Danio rerio: one gene and its partners. The protein of the gene in region 1 purifies or fractionates together with the protein of each later gene. This does not show direct contact. Links are inferred from orthologs where the notes say so. Each region holds a gene or a part of one and is shown in the gene's direction. Other genes may lie near its edges.

Region 1 (4,937 bases):
GTTTACTAAATGTTATTTGTTTGTTTCTAAAGAGAAGGCAATAGACCAAAGGCTGTAGGTGCTGAAAAACATTAGAGACAATATCGCGCTCCTGGAAAACACTGACGAAATCTTTTGTTTACAGACTAATGCTGCGCTCTGATTGGCCAGTCGCGAGACCAATCATTTCATCCTACGTGGGTCGAATATGAACTCTGGCGCGAATGCAGAACGCATAATACGGGTCCCTATGTTTGTGGGTGATCATGACTGGCTTTACCCAAAGATTCTACTCCTCAGGATCTTTAATGTGAATGACATCATTTATTGACTTGTAATAGACATTAGGAAAGATGCCTTTCTAATCAACAACAATATGGTTGGAATATATTTGAAAGTATTAAAAGCTAAATATTTGAAGGTGAAACCAATGTTTTGTGCTTTTTATAATGGGATTCTTTCATATATAAAACCCATTAAAATATAGGAAACAAAAAGTGCATTTAATCTTCTGTCTTTGATAGAAACGTATGAATTACAGGGAAACTCCTAGCCCCATTTTTACATTTAGTTATGTATTATTTTCCTTATAATTATTTTATGTAACATATTATTTGTTCCTTATTTGTAATGTAAATCTGTACTGATGATGCCAAGTTGTTATACATTACTATGTTCAATAAAAAATTAAAGACATGCAGTATAGATGAATTGTGTGCGCTAAATTGTTCATAGTGTATGTGTGTGAATGAGTGTGTATGGATGTTTCCCAGTGATGGGTTGCAGCTGCAAGGGCATCTACTGCGTAAAACAAATGCTGGATAATTTGTTGGTTCATTTCGTTGTGGCGACCACAGATTAGTTTTTCTCAGTGGTTTTGTTGCATTTCTCACAACACTATTTACATTTGCACAACAGTTAATGCATTTCTTAAAACAATTAGTACAAACTGCAAAACCTAGCTGATAACATGCAAAAGCACGTCACTTGCTCAAAATGGATAGCTCATTCCTTAAAAGCAAAGTATGATGCCAATCAAAGTGTCAGTATCATCAAGATGAAAAGTTCTGACTCCTTTGTTTATGAACAAGATAGTCAAATGGCTTTGTCATGTTTCCATTATGACAGTTTACTCTGTACATTATTTCCAATGCAAAAAAAGTCAGATTTTGGTGACATACACAGGTTTGTAAATCATTCATGAAATTGTTCAATTTAGAAGACATTTTCAGGAAATTTTTAAAAATCTTTTATAATATTAGCTTGACAGATTTTGACAACTAGTTCAACATTTTTGTATGTAATGACTCAAGTAATGATTTGAGGACTATTAGTTTTATATGGAATGACTATTCAGCATTCACAAGTTTAGGTAATTTTGACTGTCATGAAAGCAAATGAAAATGTTATAAAACAGCAGAGTTGTATGCAAGCAAATAAGCAATTGATGCATGTATAAAAGCATTTGCAATTTATTGGAAGGAATGAGAAACTGCTACTATGATGTGCACAAACGACAAACTGTTTTGAGAAATGCATTAACTGTTGTGCGAATGTGAGTAGTGCGAGACATGCACCAAAGTCACTGAGAAAAACTAATAATCCAATTTAATTAACCAGCTGTCTGTTTAATACTACTGTTATTATTATCGTTGTTGTTAGTATATACCTTTGCTCCACTTGGTGCAAAAGATCGACGGTAATGCACAAAAAAAACAGTGTTACTGCAGAGCCATTACTGCTTTGGTAACATCGCGACATCACTTTGTTCAAGCGAGAGTGTGGCGTCACATCCGGGAAAGGTCGAGGCGACGAGAACGAGAGGAGATCCAAACGTAACAACAACAGCGGCATTTCTTTTCACGAAAATACAGTAGTACATGGACAGTTAAATACATAAAATCATCTGTTTTTTATATATAAATAGTATACTCGGAATATTTAAAGGTAAGCCTTATGCTACAGAATGATCCTGTATTCCTGTTTATAATCATATAAACATGGCTTCTGCCGAGCGCGAGGCCTTTCGCTCGCTTTATACATTAATCGCTGATGTGCATATAACTTGAAACAAAAAACAAACGCTTTCTGATATTCAATGAATGGGTTAACAATTGTAATACGAGATTAGTATTTAACAAATAAATAATCAAATATGTCCCCTTTAACGTGTAAAGATTATAACGGGTTCCTTACGACATCTCAAGCGAATAAGTAACGTTAGTCAATTGTAGTACATGACTTATTAACATATCTATAAACAAACAGGAGTGTACTTGTAAAACTATTTTGGTAGGATTTGGATAATAACGATGTTGAACAGCAGGTTATGAGTTTTGAAACAATTATTTATAAGTATGATGAGATAAGGTGGATGTTTTGAGGCCTGTTTCACTTGTCATATAACGTTAATAAGTGTTTGATTTTTCAGATGTCTGAGGAGTTGATGAAGCAACTGAGCAATTATAAAGCTCAGCTGCAGCAAGTGGAAGCGGCGCTTTCTATAGATCCAGATAATGAAGATCTGCTTAAACTACAGAAGGACCTCCAGGTTTGGGGCACAATTATTCCCTATTTGTGAGCCTTTACTAAAGTCGAAGGGAAATGTGAGTTGTATTATTATGGTATTGTTGGTTTTATATTTGCACATTTAGAGTTTCTCCTTAATAAAACAATTTTATAAAAGTATGCTTTGCAAATTTTAATCGGTGAAATCATATTAGCTATCAGTGTTGGGTAAGTTACTTTAAAAAAGGAATAGATTACAAATTACTCATTACTACTCGAAAATTGTAACGTAATAACATTACTTAAAACTTAATGTAAAATGTAATCTGATTACTAATTACTTTACTGTGAAGTTACTTTTAAAATAAATAAAATATACCTTTAAAAATACAAAATAAACTGCAGCCAGGGGTGATAGCGTTCCGGCACCACGCCGGATTTCCGGCGTACTGTGGCTGCGGGTAGGGTTGTGACGGTGAGGAAATTTCCCCACCGGTTAATCGACATGTGACAACACCGGTAATACCGGTATCACCGTGGGAGTGGGCATTTTTTCATTTCCTCTTTTTTTCTGCTTTTAAATAGCTTATAAATGCGTGCGTATAATACTTTCACTTTCAGTTTTGTGGGAGTTGCCAATTCGGTGTCAATTGAATGGACAGAAAGGAAACTACAAAAAAAATTCCTGTTATTAAACAAAACATAACTTTTATTTACATAACGAATAAAACACAACACTGCTACAGGCTGAAAAAAACTGTGTAAGTTGGAACCACACAAATAACAACCATAAACGCCTATGTTATATATTAACAGCTTAGTCCTTATGAACAATCCGTTTATAAAATACATTATTAACGAATCTATAGGCTATTGAAGAATAAACCGAATATGAAATATGATCCTTGCGTAATGATCACAACTAAACAAGCGAGCACTCATTTTATATTTAAACTATATGAAAAAAAATTAAGAATTGGAACATTATGTAAAAAATCAAAGGGCAGGCTAAATAAAAGCGCCTCGTCAGAGCTAAACATCACCGCACATGTGTCAGTTTACAGCTTTTGGAAAGATCAGACAACCTATACAGATCACACAATCTCAATAAACAACATGTAAATGTATAAATATTTCGATAAGTATTGTTATGGAATATTTATAACTAAATGATCTTGCTTTTTGGTTTTATCGATACAGCTTTGATCTCTCTTACAAGCGGCAGTTACAGGCGCAGCATAAGGGCGTCTCACACTGTCAGTGGCGGAATACACACAGCACTGCCAAGACGTTTTATTTTTATTTATTTTTTTTGTTGCAGATTTGCGCGTTGTTCCTTTAAAAAAAAAACCCTTTTATTTTTTAATTCTCTCAAGTTAATGTTGTCTATCGAGTAACTATCGAGTCCCTCGGATTGGAGTTCAGTGCGCATTAAGACTATTGACCAACCGCCCTGTAAGTTTAAACACTACAGGTCCACAGCTCTGGTGTGGTATGAATTAAACGTTTTAAATGACAGCGAGACATGCTACGTTTAGTTTTTATTGTAAAATATACATTATAACCCATTACACGGTAAAATTATATGTTTTGAATGGCTTGCCTATTGACGGCGTATAGCCGTTAATTAAATATGCTGAGCATATTTTCATTAAAATTAAAACACATTAATACAAATTAGCCACCCTTTGATTTTTTTTCGTTTACGTATATTTTTATCAAACGAAAAATGCAATGAATTGTTAATTTTAGTTTTCATTTTATTAGAATTAATAGGCCTATAATTTATAGGCTACACAACTCATATATTTGGCTCCAATTGCGTTTTTACAGATATCCTACCAATAGACTTTTTTTTGGCTCAAAGACATTTATGGCTATTAATTTCAGAGGTGCATTTTGATAGATTTCGTAAAGGCTTCAGCTATTCTACCTGTCAGCTGCACCTGCCTAAGTTTTGCAACTTGACTTGTGTTGTGGCTCGATGTCTGAAAGAGAGAGAGAGAGAGAGAGAGAGAGAGAGAGAGAGAGAGAGAGAGAGAGAGAGAGAAATCAGTCCTCAGATTCGATGTGTGGCCGCACGTCTCAGTTACTTTATTGCAGTTTTTAATATTGGCTCATCTAAATAAACTTTTCATATATTAAAAGCCGAAATATTGCCAGACAGAAGAAGCAACTTTCGGTTTTTGAAGAGAGCGGCCTCAGTTATAAAAGATGCGCGCACACACAGGATTCGATCTTTTTGGCCTAGACATTATGGATTTTTTGACATTAAACACATAATCAAGTGGAAATAAGCTGAACTTCGGAAAAAGTCCTCACGTTGCCACGATGTTTCTCTGCAGTTGGATTGTCAATGGCGCGGCATTGCTAAATCACTCGTTTTAATTAAAAAAAGATAGGCTATTTATTATTAAACATTGTGAGATGATGGTCGCGTGATTTTTTTT
Region 2 (4,865 bases), on another chromosome or scaffold:
AAGCCAAGAAGAGAGGCACCCAGTAAAAACAGTACTAAAGGAATGTTGGGAATATGGACATAAAAAGATAGATAGTTTTGGTTGGACAGTAAAAGACGAGGCTCAAAATATGGGCATAAGAGACATCAATTTAGCCCCTGCTGTGCCAACCTCTGCGATTCCGCCTTGGCTTTTCCATAAACCAGTAGTCGATTTATTACTACATGAGGAAAAACACAAAAATAATATGTTAAATGAAAAAGAAATACAACAATACATAAATCAGTCATATTTCAATTATTTACAGATATATACAGATGGGTCAAAAGATCCTAAAGATGAAAAAACGGCAGTAGTAGTTTACATCCCAAAATTCAATATTAAAATATCAAAAAGAATAACGGACCGACTTTCTGTGTACACTACAGAAATTGTAGCTATACTTCTTGCTCTTCAGTGGATAGAAGACGTGAAACCATTAAGATCAGTAATATGCTCCGATTCTCTGTCAGTACTAAACAACTTAATTACTGGAACATCTAAGGCAAGACAGGACATAATGAATGAGATAATGCAAAATTTATTCAGAATCAGACAGGGTGGACTTTTTGTAAGCTTCTTGTGGATTCCTGGTCATATGGGAGTAGTAGGTAATGAAGAGGCAGACCAACTTGCAAAGGAAGCATTACAACATACTCAGATAGAAATAAAAATAAAAATAAGTAAGTCAGAGGTAAAAAACATAATTGCAAAAGAAACAGGTAGAATGTGGCAAAGGGAGTGGGATAATGGAGAAAAAGGCAGACATATGCATAATATTCAAGGATGTGTGGGTGGTACTAGAAATAAGTTTAGTAATAGAAGGAATGATGTGGTAATAACTAGGTTGCGTGCTGGTCATTGTTTGCTAAACCAGTATAAGTTCAGAATAGGGAAGCACGAGACAGGATGTTGTGATAAATGCGGGAAAATAGAAACATTAGAACATGTAATTACAGAATGTGTGGCATATGACAATCAGAGATATCAGTTAGTTCAAGGATTAAGTATTTATGGGATTAAAAATTTGTCATTTCAGACCCTATTAGGAAACAGTTCAAATCAAGTTGAAATAATAATGCAATTAATTAATTACTTAAAGGAAACAAAATTGATTAATAGAATTTAAGAATAGCTTAGCAAAATAAGGAAATAAAATTTACTATGATTTTTAACTAGTATTTTTTTTCTTTCTTTCTCTCCTCTCCTCCTACTGTTATTACTGTTCTCTCTTCCCTATGGTAATCTCATCCCTCCATTCGTATCATATATCTTTAGTACTCATGCTTTTTCCAACATTATGCGCTCCACACTCCTATCCAGTAGGTGGCGGAAATGCACCATTTAAGTTGGTCTGCCAACCGCCATTAACCCCATAAGAAGAAGAAGAATTTCATTGGTTGTCCGTTTTGTGTTGTGTGTGTGGCTGCTGGCTAACGAGAGGTAAGTGAGTTATGTAAAACTGCCTTCATAATTTGTATAACTTTAGCCATTCTTGCGACTTTCAGTGTTCATTATTTTATAACGGTTGAGTCTTTAGCTTCAAATAATCTTTCATTTTACACAGTAACGTTTGAATCGGTCCGAGAAGAGCCAGTAGTGTCGCAGTCATGCCGCCTGGGCCTGTGCAGATCATGCAGCCGGAGCTGAATAACAAGGTATGAAGCTTTCAGAATTTATTACTTTCATAGACACGATGGGTAGGTTTATCCGATTTATATTCATCTGCTTACATTTTTCGTCTTTCATAAGTATAATACTGGGCATTATTGCAATTTTATAATTTATTGTTTTGAGTAGAAGCATTACTTGTTTAAAGTTAAACTTTAATGTATATGTTATCTGTTTTGTTATCTTTTGTAGCAGTCATTGTTGTATATATTCCCAGCATAATGTTGTTTTATTATTAGTATAAATATAATATAATATAAAAATATATATTATGTAAATGTACTGTTTTATTTCCCAAAATCGATGTGGTCAAAGACAACCATTTTAAAAGATAACGTAGTAGTGTCTACTTTATTGTTTAGAAAAAAAGGTTAATAAAAATTAAGATCTAAAAATATATATACTTTTGTAAAAAATGACAACAACAACAAAAGTAAACTTACATGTACTTATTAAAATAAGTAAATGATCCTTCTGCATTTTATTGTTTTTTCTTTAAGTAAAAATTTGGATAATAGATAGTTAAATTTGAAATATTTCATTTGCTTATTTTGGGGGCTGCAATGTGATCTTTAAATGTTTTTCTAATGTCATCAAAATATTCTTCAGATGTTAATTGAATAATTATTCTTATTTTTCTTTATAATGAAAAAAATATAAATACACAAATTACTTGTTAGTTTATAAATATACATATATTGTTTTGATTCTTAAATTAAAAATGAATATGCAAATTCTATATACAAATAATATTTAAAAATTAGGGGTGTTTGAATTGAATGTAAATTTATTGATATTTATTGTAAAAACTAATTAGTTTGTAATATAAATTTCAGTTTATTATCAGATTCTGTTTTATTGATGTTGTGAAATGAGAAAGGACAGTTGTGCAATTATAATAAAAAGTAATAATTTTAAGGACCATTTACAGTGAGAAGTGTATTCTGTTGTACAATAGAAACACTTTTGGCTGCAGTAAATCCAATTCGCTTGATTTTTTTCTGTTTATCTGATATGGTATTCTCACATAACATGGTAAAGTTTCTGAGATTGACACCACAAGCATCACCCATGCTTCAATATTTGTGTAGTAAATGAAACTGTGGCATTCATTCAGAAACACGCCTCATAAATATAGACTTTGTATTTAACTTATATTTTAGTGGTCTTAAAATTCTCACACAATAGTACACATCACAACTTCATTTTAAGGACATGATTAGTTTTAATGTATTAATTCAAAGCTTGTAACATTTAATGACATTGTATAATTAATTCCATATTTATGACTGTATTCTGTGATTTTTGTTTGTGTTTTCTGTATTATTTTGCTCATATTAAATAAGCTATGAGATGTTTTAATCAACAGCCCGAAGAACCGAAAGAAGAAACTCCAGCCACAAAGCCCATAGTGGGAATCATCTACCCTCCTCCTGAAGTGCGAAACATCGTTGACAAGACTGCCAGCTTCGTAGCCAGGTTTGACATCCTACCACATATATCATGTAGTGCAGTATTTCATTTGTGTACTTTTATTAAATCAATAATTAATTCCATTTATTTTGTCAAAGGAATGGACCCGAGTTTGAGGCCAGAATTCGACAGAATGAGATCAACAACCCAAAGTTCAACTTCCTCAACCCGAGCGACCCATACCATGCCTACTACCGACACAAGGTCAATGAGTTCAAGGAGGGCAAAGCTCAGGAACCATCCGCAGCCGTTCCTAAAGTCATGCAGCATCCTCAGCAGCTTCCTCAGAAGGTCAGCAACTTCTCTGTGGCTTTATATAAATATTATCAATATTATAGATGTAGACAGATAGTTTTATAATAGTTAAAATCAAGCCATAATCCAGCAGACAGATATAAAAAATTTTAATAGCTTTCTATGTTATAAAGAGCTTATGTTTTGTGATTATTTAGGTCCAAGCACAGGTGATCCATGAGACGGTGGTGCCAAAAGAGCCTCCACCTGAGTTTGAGTTCATTGCTGACCCTCCCTCCATCTCAGCCTTTGACCTGGATGTGGTGAAACTGACCGCACAGTTTGTTGCCCGTAATGGCCGTCAGTTTCTCACACAGCTGATGCAGAAGGAACAGAGGAACTACCAGTTTGACTTTCTCCGGCCACAGCACAGTCTGTTCAACTACTTCACAAAACTAGTGGAGCAGTATACAAAGGTAAATTATACTTTTTAGAAATGCTGAGGGCTTATTGGTTTGCAAAGAGATTAGAGATGTTCAGTATTTTTTCCTCTAATAATATTTTTGATTAATGTTTAAAAAAATGCAAGCTCAATAAATTAGCAAAAAAATTATTAAAACAATTATTCCATTTGTGAAAGCATTTAGAAGATACATTAGGGCTGGGGAAAAAATTGGTGATTTCCATGCACATTTTGTCAATAAAGCAATAAAAGTAAAGTAAGCTACATTCAGCTGGAGCAGCATTTGCCACACATAATTCACTATAAAGCTACACAAAACTTGCAACACTTGATGAATCTGTAGTTGTGTCTTTATTAATTAGTCTGAATTAGCGAAAGCAGTTAAAGTTTCCTTTTTAACACAATACTCTTTGGATTTCTTTTAGTTTCTGTAAGAGCAGCCTCTGGCATTTAGAGGAGATTTATTGCTGATCATGCTGTGCTTTTCTGACAATATGTGCATGACAAATGTAGCTTTGCTAAATGATGTTTGGGATTTACTTTAGATTAATTGACCAGTCCTAAGATATATTGTAGTTCGGTAATATCACACAAACAAATACTTTTTCCCTGAAAATCAATTGCAAATGTGAAACCCCCAAATGCAAAATACAGGTTACAAATACAGGTTATTCAAGTGTGACATTAAATAACTTGTTTGATTGGCTTTTTGCAGGTTTTGATTCCTCCAAAAGGTCTTCTGCTGAAACTGAAGAAAGAAGCAGAGAATCCTCGAGAGGTCTTGGACCAGGTAATCAAATATAGAAATGAACACCAAAATTTAAAATTTCAGGTCACACGGGGTGTGAATGAAAAAAAAAAAAAAAAACATAAGATATTGGTAGACAAAATCATATTTAGAGTTTTTTTGTGCCCTAAACATACTCTTTGAGCTTTGAATGATTGCAGTTTAACCAGTGAAGTTTCATGGATTTTTTTAACAATGTCTTTGATTCTTTTTTTTTGA
Region 3 (4,943 bases), on another chromosome or scaffold:
TATAATATAATATAATATAATATAATATAATATAATCAATATAATATAATCAATATAATATTATTAATATAAAGTAATATAATATAATATAATATAATATAATATAATATAATATAATATAATATAACTATTTTAACATACCATTATATTATATTATATTATATTATATTAAATTATATTATATTATATTATATTATATTATATTATATTATATTATATTATATTATATTATATTATATTATATTATATTATATCATGTTCCGGCGCCATAAAAAGTATATTAAAACCTTTTCTCAACAATTTTCACAGGATTTGAGGTGTTGGCGTTAGAAAGACCACCATCTTGTGGCTAAACATGGCAGACGCAGCATAAAATAAACCAGAGATGCCCAAACTATCGACAGTGGGCCAAAGTTGGCGCATGCATGGTAAGAAAGAAGCGAGAATGATGAGGTAGTTAGAGCAGAGATGCCCAATAGGGCCCGTGGGCCAAAGTTGGTCCATGATAACTTTTGAAATGGCCCGCCATCCCATCTGAGAAGAGAGGGGGAATGATAAGGGTGGTTTCGAGATAGTCAATTCAAATTTAATGTAAACATTTGTTTGTTTGTTTTATTGTTAAAAGCTACTGATTAAATGTTTCAATCAAATGGTGTAAATTTGAGACTTTGGTGAGCAAATCAAGTCAAAGACAGATTCTGCTTGACTAGTGTGTTCAGCACTGAACTCCACTGTGTTATCAGGCAGTGCACACATAGGGCTCAACCTTTTTAGTGCCCTTTTTTGCCCTTTTTAGTCTTGGATAAAAAGTGCCCTTCCAAAATGATCAAAAGTGCCCCCTCGACGCGACACACCCTCCGTCCCGCCCTTCAGTAGGCGCACGACAACACTGATCTTGAGTACGCGCGCTGACCTTTGGATGGTCTCTGCACGGGCCTGTGTGTGTACAAGAAGACATTTCCTTCATCCAGAGTGACAAAGATGGAGCATGAATAATTTTCCAGTAAATGGCTGGAATCAGGCGCTTCGCATGCAATAGACACAGGCTTATACACTTCTGTTCATATGACTTCAGCGATAAGGCAGGTGGGAGAACTTTCATTTTTGTGTGAACTATTCTTTTAAATAGAAAAAAAAATTCTGCATCATTACTAAATGTATAAAAAAGATTACATCTAGGCTACATTTAGTTTATACTTTGCTTTATAAAATCTATTTAGTTTTTATTTCCAATGAATCTAACAAAAAACGCTGAAAATAAGAGACGCGACTTCATAAATACACAAGGAATATGTATGATATGGATTTTTCATTCATTCATTTTTTTCAGCTTAGTTCCTTTATTCGTCAGGGGTTGCCACAGTGGAATGAACCACCAACTTATCCAGCATATGTTTTACACAGCGGATACCCAGTACTAGGAAACACCCACATATACACCCACAAAAATATATACAGCCAAAAAAATTATCGTCGCAGTTTTAAAGTTTAAAAACTCAACGAACAGGAACGACAAATCCCACGATGCTTTGCGTTGTGTTCCCGTGATCCCTTGCGCCTGAACGCGTTTGTGCCGTTCATCTTCAACATGGCTAACGAAGGGCCGCAGGATCCAAATATAGATTTTAATACATGGACCCATGGCGAGCTGCAGGCCAAATTGGCCGAATTTGGTGCTCCCAATATGGGTAAGTTAACAACTCTTTCATTACATCGCTGCGGGACAGTATCGCTGAGTTTTTCATTTGTTAGCTAGCGTTAGCCTGTTAGCCTGTTATTTTCCTGTCCGGTGCCCGGGCCTCAGTGCACCAAACGACGCGCTTACACATGTTGTTCATTGAAATGTGTGTTGGAAAGCTGGTTTTGCTCTTGATTTTGCTGCTAGTAATGCATTAAGTCGTGTATGTGATATAAGTAAAGTGTATGATAAGTCGTCCCCGGTTGAACCGAGTGAATGTTTTTGTCTGAACGGGAAATGCAATGGGATTTAAGTGCAGAACTTTTTATACACACATTTTTATACACACCAATACTTTAGCTGCATAATAAATCGTGTAAAATGTCTAATTCACTGTTTATTATCATCATCATTTAAGTTACCTGTGGTTTTCTGTTATCCAGGTCCAAGAGAGGAGCTCATAGACAGACTGAAATCTTATGCACAGGTAAATTAGTTAAGGGTTTTAATTACAGATACAACGTTATTTACATTTTTTTTGTCCTAACATAATCTTTATTACGTTTTCAGCCTGGCATGATCTTTAATAAACCAAACATACCAGGAGAAGACAAGAGCTTGACCACGGTACTGTGTCCTTTCTCTTATTCTCTTAGCAGTATAGTTCACCACAAACATGTAAATTCTGTCACTTTCTCACCCTTTACTTGATCAAACCCTGTTTGTTTTTGTTCAGTTGAACGCTGAAGAAGACGTTTTGAAGAATTGTGTAAACCTGTAACCATTGATTTCCATTGTTGTCCAACTATGGAAGTCAATAATTACATGAGTAACTCCATGCAAATGTGAACCTTGCCATGATAAAACTACGCTTCAACCAAAATAGCCAAACTGTTTCTACATTTTTGGTGTAATGACAAGTGACACAAGTGCCAATTTTACATTTGTCACATACATAGCGAAGCTTTTTCCTCAAAAATGCAAAAACATGTAAAACTAAATACAATCAATCATGTGTTCTTTAGAGAGCAACTCCTATCCTTTTTATTAGGATTGTTTCTTTTGGGTTGGGCAGTTTGATTCACAGAATTTCTGCAAAGTATGTTGTAGACCAGGTGTGGGCAAACTTGATCCTGGAGGGCCGGTGTCCTGCACAGTTTAGCTCCAACCCTATTCAAACAGACTTCCCTATAGAGTTCAAGTGATCTTGAAGACACTGAGGCCCCGTTTACACTAGTGCGTTTTAGTTTTAAAACGGCGTTGTAGAATGAAAACGATCCGCGTCCACACTCGCGTTTTACCCAGCGTTTCTGAACAGCTCTCCGTCCACACCAAAACCCTGAAAACGCACATCACGTGACCACACACACACACTCGGGCAAGCGCTCCAGCATTTCTACCCAGATGAGAGCTCTGCTTGTCGGACTGCTCATCAAGCATCTCCCGCTGGATCTAATCTCACTATATTTGCTAAATGTGATATTTCATTCATCTTGTTGTCTTTATCTAACGACATAGGCCAATTCCCTGACTTTGGTCATTGGAAACTGTTAAGTTACTTGTTCACGGGGAACATGTTTTGGTTAAGCGCAAAGATAAGTTAATGATTAATCCAGGTACATTGACTGATCGCTTGCCTTTATTTCCTACAATGTATAAACTTATTGTATGTTATACTTTTATAATTATCGATTATTAAAACTGATATTCAGCAAAAGAGAGGGTGCGTTTCGTATTTTCACTGAAATTGAAAGGAGGCAGTTGTTATCGGCTCTGTTTTGTTATAAATATCCACACAGTGAAGATGACGCTCATATATGCAGCACGGCGCCTCAACATTTCTGCTGTCTGTTAAGTTGCTAATATTAAAATGAAAATAGGCAGTTCCTTAAATCATGTTTACATTTTATTGTTGATAAAGTGAAACAACGTAGCCAGGGTGATGTGAATGAAGTTATAAAGTACACTGTTCCCTTTGAAGATTTACCCGTGTCCTCTGTATGTTTTCCATATCAAACTGAGAAGGGGGAGACTGCAGCCTTGATCAAACTTGCGAAGTCTTAACTTACAAGAAGAGGATGCGAGACTGAACTATGTGTGGGCTACTTAATATTGAGGAAAAGCCCCAATCAGATAGGTGAACGTTTGCAGCCCCGCCTCCGTTTTCAGATGTCTCCGTCTTTCCCCATCCACACTGAGACGGAGCAGCAGCGTTTCAGAATGAAAACGGCCTCTCCAGCGTTTTCAAAAAGCTCCGTTTTCGGCGCTCGAGAACTCCGGCGTAGTGTGGACGGATGGCGTAACCGTAGCAAAACTTATGCGTTTTCAAACTAAAACGCACTAGTGTAAACGGGGCCTGATTAGTTTGTTCAGGTGTGTTTGACTAGTGTTGGAGCAAAACTCTGCAGGGACACCGGCCCTCGAGGATCAAGTTAGCTCATCCCTGTTGTAGACTGTAAACTCGCAGACTTTTTTTGGTCACATCCATAACGCTTGTTTATTTCCCTCATTTAAAGTACAAAGCATGTTCACAGATTGATATATTTCTGCTCTCACAACTCTGTGGCTAGTTGTTTCGTAAAATATAAACAGATGTTTCAACATGATGTTAACATTTACTTTCTCTGTGAATTTATGTTTTGAGCTGTTACTGCAAATGTCACATCCATAACGCTGGAGTTGCTCATGTTTTCAACATTTTTCAAACTATCTTCTTTTGTGCTCAACTTATTTTGGAACAAGTCAAGGGTGAGTAAATGACAGGAATGTGAACTATCTCTAATGTCTTGGTAATCTAATAGTCACTTTGCTCCCGTTTGTTGTTAAGCTTTAGATCACCAATCTCGGTCCTGGAGGGCCGGTGTCCCTGCAGGGTTTACCTCCAACTTGCCTCAACACACCTGCCTGAATGTTTCAAGTATACCTAGCAAGACCTTGATTAGCTTGTTCAGGTGTGTTTGATTAGGGTTGGAGCTAAAATCTGCAGGACACCGGCCCTCCAGGAACAAGTTTGGTGACCCCTGCTTTAGAATATAAAAGCTATAAGATTTGTTGTGTGTGTGTGTGTGTGTGTGTGTGTTTGTTTGTGTGTGTGTCTCAGATGCCCGGTCTGCCACCCATGCCCCCTATGCCTTCGATGCCCCTGCCGCCTAGCATGAACATGATGCAGGCCATGAACATGATGGGAGGCCCTCCACCGATACACATGGCTATGGAGCCACCGGGTATGATGCAGCATGACGACAGGGGCCCACAGGTAAGAGAC

What was found.
Region 2: the proteins of smndc1 (region 1) and sf3a1 purify together in Homo sapiens (affinity purification with mass spectrometry; 3 studies listed by BioGRID and IntAct, with this or other methods). This does not show direct contact. The link is inferred for Danio rerio from reciprocal best matches to the Homo sapiens genes SMNDC1 and SF3A1.
Region 3: the proteins of smndc1 (region 1) and sf3b2 purify together in Homo sapiens (affinity purification with mass spectrometry; 3 studies listed by BioGRID and IntAct, with this or other methods). This does not show direct contact. The link is inferred for Danio rerio from reciprocal best matches to the Homo sapiens genes SMNDC1 and SF3B2.

What each region holds. Positions count from the first base shown.
Region 1 is NC_133192.1:21,547,695-21,552,631, forward strand, and holds the start of smndc1 (survival of motor neuron-related-splicing factor 30), read left to right. Parts: upstream 1-1,751; 5' UTR 1,752-1,926; intron 1,927-2,410; coding exon 2,411-2,530; exon of another isoform or gene 2,531-2,898; intron 2,899-4,937. UniProt on the Homo sapiens protein: Involved in spliceosome assembly.
Region 2 is NC_133183.1:43,422,401-43,427,265, forward strand, and holds the start of sf3a1 (splicing factor 3A subunit 1), read left to right. Parts: upstream 1-1,443; 5' UTR 1,444-1,461; exon of another isoform or gene 1,462-1,465; intron 1,466-1,585; 5' UTR 1,586-1,628; coding exon 1,629-1,676; intron 1,677-3,058; coding exon 3,059-3,168; intron 3,169-3,260; coding exon 3,261-3,453; intron 3,454-3,614; coding exon 3,615-3,872; intron 3,873-4,574; coding exon 4,575-4,649; intron 4,650-4,865. UniProt on the Homo sapiens protein: Component of the 17S U2 SnRNP complex of the spliceosome, a large ribonucleoprotein complex that removes introns from transcribed pre-mRNAs.
Region 3 is NC_133182.1:6,505,262-6,510,204, forward strand, and holds the start of sf3b2 (splicing factor 3B subunit 2), read left to right. Parts: upstream 1-1,521; 5' UTR 1,522-1,588; coding exon 1,589-1,688; intron 1,689-2,121; coding exon 2,122-2,165; intron 2,166-2,248; coding exon 2,249-2,305; intron 2,306-4,778; coding exon 4,779-4,934; intron 4,935-4,943. UniProt on the Homo sapiens protein: Component of the 17S U2 SnRNP complex of the spliceosome, a large ribonucleoprotein complex that removes introns from transcribed pre-mRNAs.